Neurospora crassa OR74A: one gene and its partner. The protein of the gene in region 1 interacts with the protein of each later gene in a biochemical or structural test. Links are inferred from orthologs where the notes say so. Each region holds a gene or a part of one and is shown on either strand. Other genes may lie near its edges. The genes, in order: NCU16757 and NCU08951.

What was found.
Region 2: the proteins of NCU16757 (region 1) and NCU08951 form a complex in vitro, tested with the Saccharomyces cerevisiae proteins (2 studies listed by BioGRID). The link is inferred for Neurospora crassa OR74A from reciprocal best matches to the Saccharomyces cerevisiae genes GAR1 and NHP2.

Annotation. Positions count from the first base shown.
Region 1 is NC_026504.1:1,399,627-1,403,948, forward strand, and holds NCU16757 (H/ACA ribonucleoprotein complex subunit 1), read left to right. Parts: upstream 1-1,618; 5' UTR 1,619-1,799; coding exon 1,800-1,857; intron 1,858-2,023; coding exon 2,024-2,223; intron 2,224-2,288; coding exon 2,289-2,693; 3' UTR 2,694-3,809; downstream 3,810-4,322. Other genes in the region: NCU16756 (hypothetical protein), read left to right, coding at 506-1,339; NCU07902 (hypothetical protein), read left to right, coding at 3,882-4,322. UniProt on the Saccharomyces cerevisiae protein: Non-catalytic component of the H/ACA small nucleolar ribonucleoprotein (H/ACA snoRNP), which catalyzes pseudouridylation of rRNA and is required for ribosome biogenesis.
Region 2 is NC_026505.1:5,798,124-5,801,947, reverse strand, and holds NCU08951 (ribosome biogenesis protein Nhp2), read left to right. Parts: upstream 1-1,253; 5' UTR 1,254-1,506; coding exon 1,507-1,792; intron 1,793-1,899; coding exon 1,900-2,342; 3' UTR 2,343-3,091; downstream 3,092-3,824. Other genes in the region: NCU08952 (translation regulator GCD7), read right to left, coding at 1-483, 541-638; NCU08949 (hypothetical protein), read right to left, coding at 3,402-3,459, 3,538-3,824. UniProt on the Saccharomyces cerevisiae protein: Non-catalytic component of the H/ACA small nucleolar ribonucleoprotein (H/ACA snoRNP), which catalyzes pseudouridylation of rRNA and is required for ribosome biogenesis.

The DNA of each region.
Region 1 (4,322 bases):
TGGTGAGATCTGAATTTGAGGACTGGGCTTTCGCTTTGTTTGGGTGAATTGCCCCGCTAACAAAGTCGGAGGAGACATGCCGAGGCTTGTGAAACCATGCAATTCAAGGGTTAGGGTCGTATTGGCTCAGTCCCTTCTTTCATTTCACCTACCTTATCCAATATCGGGCTATCTTTGAAAATGTTGCGTTAAAAGCATGTTGGGATGATGGTAGGTAGGCTAGAGCAGGATACAAAGCCTAAAGCCAGCCAATATCAGGAGATTGTAAGAGGGGGAACGGCAAGTAATATCTCTGTGGTAAAGTGCCCCTCGCAGAATTAATCAGTGCCCTCCATTTATCCACAGCAGGCCTACTCATGAAACGGGGTCGAGGATGAAGACTCGGCAGAAGCTATCGGCTCCTGGAAGTGAGTACTTAAGCACTCAGCCGAGCATCGTGAACCAAAGTTGTCCATGGCCGAAACAGCTACTCTAATCACAGCCAAGCACCTACCTTCACATCACGATGCTGTCCAGATCTGCCAAAGACACGGTCTGGTTCACCGTTGTCTGCTTCCTTGCACTCATTACTTCTGTTTTCGCGAAATGTACCCGGGAGGGACTGCTAGCAGCAGCCAACAGTTATGTAGACGCCTTCTCCGCCGGCAGACTTGACGGCCTCCAACTCACCTTGAGCAACTTTGCCTACCAGGAAAACAACAAGGCAGCCGACATCAAGCGCGGCATCCTCAGCCAGTCGCACAACATCAGCCTCAACCGATCAACGGCCGACACCATTGCCTGCGCCAGCTACACCATGATCATCTCATTGGCGAGCGGTTCCAACTCCAAGCCCTATGTCACGGCAACCCAGATCCGTCATCCAGCCGATGGAGACACATCAACCATCTCATCTATCGACACCATCGCTGCCACGACGGGGTCCTTGTTCTTCAACGCCCAAAAGACGTTCGGGTACATCCAGAAGGAGAACTGGGGCGTCATTGAGACGGCGGCGAATCGGCCAAGTCGAGAACTGTTGAGAAAGGTCGGGGATGCTTATCTCGACATGTGGACGGATGCAAAGGCGGCTGATAGTATTCCATGGGGGGCCGACTGTGAACGCGTTGAAGGATCGCAGTATACCAGACCGTGTGGTGTTCAGTTACCGAGAGGAGGCAGTTCAAAGCGCAACGGAAATCGGCGATATGTCATCGATGAGGTGATGGGTTCGGTTGACGTGCTGTGCTCGTTTGATGCGCTGGGGAATATGCCGGATAGCCATGAGATCCGGGTCGAGGGCGGTGAGGTCAAGTATGTCCATACGATTACGGTAATTTCAGAGCGTCGTGTAGTGTGATGAGGCGAACAGCTGCTGTACTTGAAGCTGCAAAATGCATCGATGAAGTCGGAAAGTGTTCCCGTCAAACTGTTACAGGGCTGCACAAAGTGATGTCGAAATCCCCACATTCGCGTTTCTTAGGGCCCCGGGCACGGACCCACAGCCCACAGCAGCCACTAACCCTGGTCCATCCACAATTCGCATTGAGCCAATGCGCCGCCAGGAACCGTTTGAAAATGGGACTGGCTTAGGTGGGGTGGTGGACATCTGCAGACGATTGCCGGCCGGGAAAAATTGCTACTCTTTCAGTCTTCCAGGAACACGGAAAAATTTCAATTGTCTGCGCCGGCGAAACGATCATTGTCAACATCTCACTCCGAACCCGACGGTCCTCCAATTCACTGACGCGCGAGGAGACGCAAGACGCACCCTTGCCGTATTCCCATTTCAACAAACAACCCAATCCAACCAACAAATCATGTCTTTCAGAGGTCGTGGAGGAGGTGGTGACCGCGGTGGCCGTGGCGGCTTCAGAGGTACGCCGCATTATTCTTCTATTATCAACCGTTATCGCACACCTTGATGTCGTCGCCTTGGTCGCACTTTGCCGTCAACCATTGGCGCCACTCAGGGCGATTTACCTTTTCACCCATACTTCTTCCCCAATGTTCAATGACAACTAACATAGATATCCTACAACAGGCGGCCGTGGTGGCTTCGGTCAGCGCGACGATGGTCCCCCCGCCCAGGTTCTCGAGCTCGGCACCTTCGAGCACGCCGTCGAGGGCGAGATGTTCTACAAGTCCACCAACCCCAAGATCCCCCATTTCAACGCTCAGGTCTTCCTTGAGAACAAGACCCCCATCGGCAAGATCGATGAGGTTCTCGGTCCTCTCAACCAGGTGCGCACTTCCCTCCGAAACATGAACCATAGCACATCAAATTAACACTCCTCTCCTTCTTTCAGGTTTACTTCACCGTCAAGCCCCAAACCGGCATCGTCGCTACTTCCTTCAAGCCCGGCGACAAGGTCTTCGTCGGCTCCGAGAAGCTCCTCCCTCTCGAGCGTTTCCTCCCCAAGCCCAAGGTTCTCGGCGCCCCCAAGGTGAAGAAGGCTGGCCGTGGTGGTGCTGGTGGTCGTGGCGGTCCCAGAGGCGGTGCCCGCGGTGGCGGCCGTGGCGGCTTCTCCTCTCGCGGCGGCGGCGGTGGCTTCTCTCGCGGTGGTGGTGGTGGCTTCTCCCGCGGCGGCGGTGGTGGTTTCAGCAGGGGCGGCGGTCGCGGTGGCAGCGGCGGCTTCTCGAGGGGTGGTGGTGGCCGTGGTGGCGGCGGTTTCTCCCGCGGTGGCGGCCGCGGTGGTCGTGGTGGCTACTAAGCGGTTGCGAAGGAGTGACGACGACGACGACGACGAAGACACCAACCAGTGGTGCTGCTGCTGGCGCTGCTTGGAAAGGAAAGGGAGCGGAAGAAAGACTTGTTGCTTTACCAGGTTCTTGGGTTTTGTTAAACATGGTCCTCAAAATGGCTATGGCTTGTGGCGTTATGGAAGGGACAAATTCTTTCTGCCGCATCAGGAGGGTTCGGCAAGTTGTGTTTTTATCTCTGTAGGCATCTCTCGGTTTTCTCTGTCTGCTAATTTCGGTTTCTTTGGACTACAACACATCAAACTGAGCGCATCTGGATCTGGCTTCACAAGCCTTCACGTTGACGGTGGATGAAATTGGGGCATTAAAATGTCCTTGGCACAGGCACCAGGTCATGTTCGGACAGACAGCTATGTGTCCGGTCACTTGCGTACAATCAAGGGCAGTACCCAGTTGTATACGTCACCGCCGCCGTCGAATGGGATCCTCAAAGATGCACGACATCCTCCTGAACCTCGGGTTGGACTGGATTTCGGTAGCCTAGCTGGGTAAGCAGAGGCCCCAGTCCAATATGATCGACCATGCAGCAACCACACATCGACCGCATATCGAGCGCCAACCCGTCAGATATAGCACCGACTGAACCCCAAGCATCAACGGCCCGCAACTGACCCCTTCGAACGACGAACCTCTCGCAACCCGAAACCTCTTCTTCGTCTTCACCCACTCCGTCCGAGGTGTTCCTACCCATCATTCTTCCAACGCCGCAACTTCCACAACACCCCTCGCGAAAAAGAATCAAGAATTGTCGAGCCTCTTCGTGCCTATTTCCGCCGACTATGCGCACAACAGGTCACGAGCCGTTACCAATGTACCCAGACAGCAGCGCATGGTTGTCCGCCTCCCCGTCTTTCCGGCATTTTGCCATTGGCTTGAGTGGCTGCTTGGGTCATTATGGCTTGTGACTCTAAAGGGCCCGTGCAGGCTGCGGTCCGTGTGGACTGAGGTTGACCCGTGGTGGTGGACTGTTAGTTCCGGCGCATGTCCTTGTAACCTTGTTCAGCGATAGCCGTATATAGATCAAAACGCAACTCGACCTTCCCCTAACGATGTCAATTGTTGAGGCCCCTTCACTAACTCGTTCCTCCATATCATTACATCATTTGCATGCATAGGTATCATCTCTCCAGGATTGCAATATGGCTGACGACTCTGAGCCTCAGGACAGCAAACTCTCCACAGCCGCAAACATTGTCGGCCTCCTCACTTTCACACTTGCGGCGCTCAATCTGGTGATTGTCCGAGTTCTACAAAACGAAAGAAGCATAGTCAACCAACTCCGGAAAAGGGGGTGGAGGAATTCTCTCAATGCCTTGGAACAAAAGATACGTTACATTCGGCTCTTTAATCCATCTTTCGTGGGCTTTGGAAGAGACCAAATCCATGCCGGCCATGCATCCGGAGAAAGGTCCGACCTGGAAGACAAGCAGCCAGAAGAACGGTTAAGCGAGATTTACAAAGATGTTCAGACTTGTTACGACCAGGGAAAGGTCAACGTCAACGAAACAGAAGCTATTGAGAACCATCTCGCCGAACAGATTAGCCCTGCTGGCTACGCAAGAGCTACGAAACGGTTAATC
Region 2 (3,824 bases), on another chromosome or scaffold:
TCCATAATCTCTTCGATGCCATCGATAACTTCGGACCGTAGGGCATGCATGTTGGCAGATGCGCCCTGGGACATGGGGGTAGATGCGCCGGTAACTGGTGACTGTGCGGTCTCTGAGACGCAGAGAAGGTTGAACATGGACTTGGACATGGGGAGAGTCGCGGCGCGGAGGGGCGTGGGGCCTGGCCTTGTGGAAATGGTGGGCGTTGTGGGCAGCTGGGAGAGGTCGGATACTGAGTCGCCCATCTCGTCGGCATTTCTGTCCTCGGAAGCCTCATCACGAATAAGACCCATTACTCGGCGGACAACGTTGCCGATGACTTGCTCAGTGGGAGCAGCTTGGGCAAGTCTGTGGCCGGTGTTGGAGACCTTTGCGAGCAGCTGATCGACGTTCTGCCACTTAGACTTGGCGACGACCTGGAGCAGCATATGGGCTGTGGCATTGGCGACATCATCGCCCTTGACTTGGCGACGTTTTAGGAGGCTGCCCAACCATGTTAGGATCTGATATAAGATAGATATGAAGCAGGCGTAGGCGTACTAAATAAGAGCCTCGATAGAAGCCTCCAAGGGCTGAGTGTTGAGAGACTTGAGGAGCTTGCCCAACGTGGGGGCATAGCTCATTTGCGACGACGCCATGGCGATGAGCTGTGTATAGTACTCTGTGTGCTACTGAGGTATTGTGGAGGTGATGTCGAAGTGAGAGTGCGACTGTTCCCTGCTCGAGGCTGTATGGTCTTTACGAATGGTACTGGACGGATATCTATGAAATCGATATAGGCGGGGGGGAATGACAAGGCTGCTGGTCGCAAAAAGGTTCTCCAACAATAGCTTCCAGAACTGGGCCAATGTCGCTTGGGATTGTGGACTTTTTGCCAGTGAATTGTCGAGGTGAGTCAATGGCTCACACTGAATGCGCTTGGAGGTAGGTATCACAAGCTCTAGAAATTTAGTGGGGCAGGCAAGCAACCGGCCTTCAAGGACAAAGCACTGCCGCTGTTTGCCAGTTTGCGGCAGGCTAGAAGCAGGCCTTGTTTAAGTTCAAGACTACTACTAATCCCTGTCGTACTGAATGGAAAGCCCCACCAAGCAAAAGGTGGAAGTTTAAGACATTTCCTCTTATCGCGTGCTTATCGGAAAATTGGTCCCTCTTATCGCACCCAATTCCAGGCGCTCACCTGCATTATCGGCCCCCGGGCGGAACGGCTTTACAATTGGCCTACAAATTTTTGGTCGCGTCGCTCTGCTTTGATTGACTGGGTCACTTGATGGACCCAGTAAAATCTGCGTTGAAGAATCCATTTCTGCGATCAACCGCCCCATCACGATACCAAATACCTTGACGCCCCAACCCAGTAACTTTTTTTTCTCTTTACTGCAGTGGTTGTCTGTATAACCATTCTTTAATTCCTGTTTGATACCCCATCCCCCTCCACCACCAACTTTATCTACACACACCCAACCACCACCACCAACAACAACACACACACACATTTAATCCGACAAGATGGGTGCCACCGACAAGATCAAGGAGAAGAAGGACAAGTCCGAGAAGAAGGACAAGAAGGAGAAGAAGATGAGCGAGGAGGCCGGTGTCAAGAAGGAGAAGAAGGACAAGAAGGAGAAGAAGGAGAAGACCGAGAAGCTCGCCAAGGCCGTCGAGGCTCACCTCGAGAAGGAGGGTTCCGTCGACCCTGAGGATGTCGTCAAGACCGCCGAGGACCTCGTCCCCTTTGCCCTTCCCCTCGCCGACGACAAGACCCACAAGAAGATTTACAAGTTGATCAAGAAGGGTACGTTTTGTGACTACTCTCCAATTGCATTGCCAGGCTCCTCAATCGCAGCCCACGCACGACTTGTACTGAACCCAAGCTAACTTTTGATTAAAAAAAACAAACAGGCGCCAAGCTCAAGTCCATCCACCGCGGCGTAAAAGAGTGCGAGAAGGCCATCAAGAAGTGCCCCCTCCGGACCGCCGCCTCCCCTCCCGCCGACGCTCCCGGCCTCGTCATCATCGCCGGCGACATCTCGCCCATGGACGTGATCATGCACTTCCCCATTCTGTGCGAGGAGCACGGCGTTCCCTACCTGTACATTCGCTCGCGCGCCGACCTCGGCGTTGCCGCCTGCACCAAGCGCGCCACCTCGGTGGTGATGCTCAAGCCCGAGGGCAAGAAGTCCTCTGGCAAGGAGGAGGGCGACAAGGTCGACCCTGCCGAGTACCTCGAGGCCTACAAGGAGCTGGTCAAGACGGCGCAAAAACAGTGGAACGTCCAGGTCGAGCCCTGGGTCAAGGGTACTCACCCGCTCCAGATCGAGGCCAAGGTCAAGGGCACTGCCTAAATTGGCGGGAGCAATGACTCGAGCGAAACAAAACACACAAAAGATGAAAGGCTGCAACGACATGATGGCGACAGCGGGAGCACATGAGACCATGACACTATTGCAGGTGCCGGTGTGATTGTGCGTCTGCTTGTTGCAAGAGTGTTCGTGTGCGTACGTGCTTTTTGCTCAGACAATCGGACCGTCTTACCGTTGAGAGAGAAGAAAACAGGCGACCGATCATCTTGGAGATTGGACGCTGGCGGGGAGCGCAAAGACTGTTATTCGATGGACTTTTGCCTGGGCTTGGGGAACAGATGAAGGAGGAACAAGTTTGTGACGCCTTAATCACAACCTCTATCACTCTTTTCTTCCCTCGATGTCGATTTCTGTCTCCGCTTCGGGCTCCTCCCACCTCTCGCTCTCATCACGAAAAGATTGTCGGATATCGGTCATCATCTCTTCCGCATTGACCACATCCGGTCGGCTCCCATGGGCTGGCTTGGTTGTTCTGGGCTTTTATCTAAGCTATAGATAGAGAGCATTGATGGGTTGACGGTTTTAGTCTATCCTGGTTTCGGTTATGGATTTATGGCGCTGGCTACTTGCTGTCATTAAAATATGGAAGGCGTTGCGGGGTAAACACTTGTATTTTGTACGGTATATATGAGAAAGGAATACCAAGTTCATCAGTTCTCATTTTCCAGTTCGTATATGTTCAAGCGTCTTTGGGTCGAATGCCGCGGGCTGTACTTCTGGCCTATGTCACGACACACAACACAACATCGACATGGCCAACTACCATCGCAACACTCAATCAGATGCAAGACAACTCCTGGTCACCAGCAGACAACAAGCACACGAGCCAAATAGTGAGTTATCGCCAGCGTCTTCCATTCATCTCAGGAATGCTGATACTATGCTAATAGCTTGATACAATACAGAGGGTACCAAGAAAAAAAACAGGAAATGCCCAGGAACACGCCCACACTCCAAATTGTAGGTGCGATACTCAAGTTCCCCATTATCATTAACTTCATTAAACCATACCAGAGTTCCTCTTACTCAAAAAAGGACCCTTTACTCGGCACGCCAGCTTGTCCGGCCGAGAGTAGGCGATCCGGAGGTAGCAGAGGCGCTGTTTCAACCATGTCAGCAGACTGTTCCCACAGGATATACCGTAGTAGATAGGTTCTTTTACAATAGGGTGACCCACTACTCAAAAGGGTTGGTGCGCGTTCCCCACCAGGTAAGGAAGACGGAAAGGCCGACAGTCTCAAACAGCTTAGCGAGGACGTTGATGCCGACAGTCTCAAAGGCGCGCTTCTCAACGAAGAACTCAGAGATGAAACCGGGAGCAGAGGTGGCAGCGAAGATGAGACCGCCGAGGTAGGCGGCGCCGCGGTAGCTGAGGGTGCCGGTGGCGTTGATGAGAGCGCCAATGCCGTACGACTGCAGGGCAGAGCCGACGAGGGAAGAGCCCCAGGCCATGACGGCCGAGGT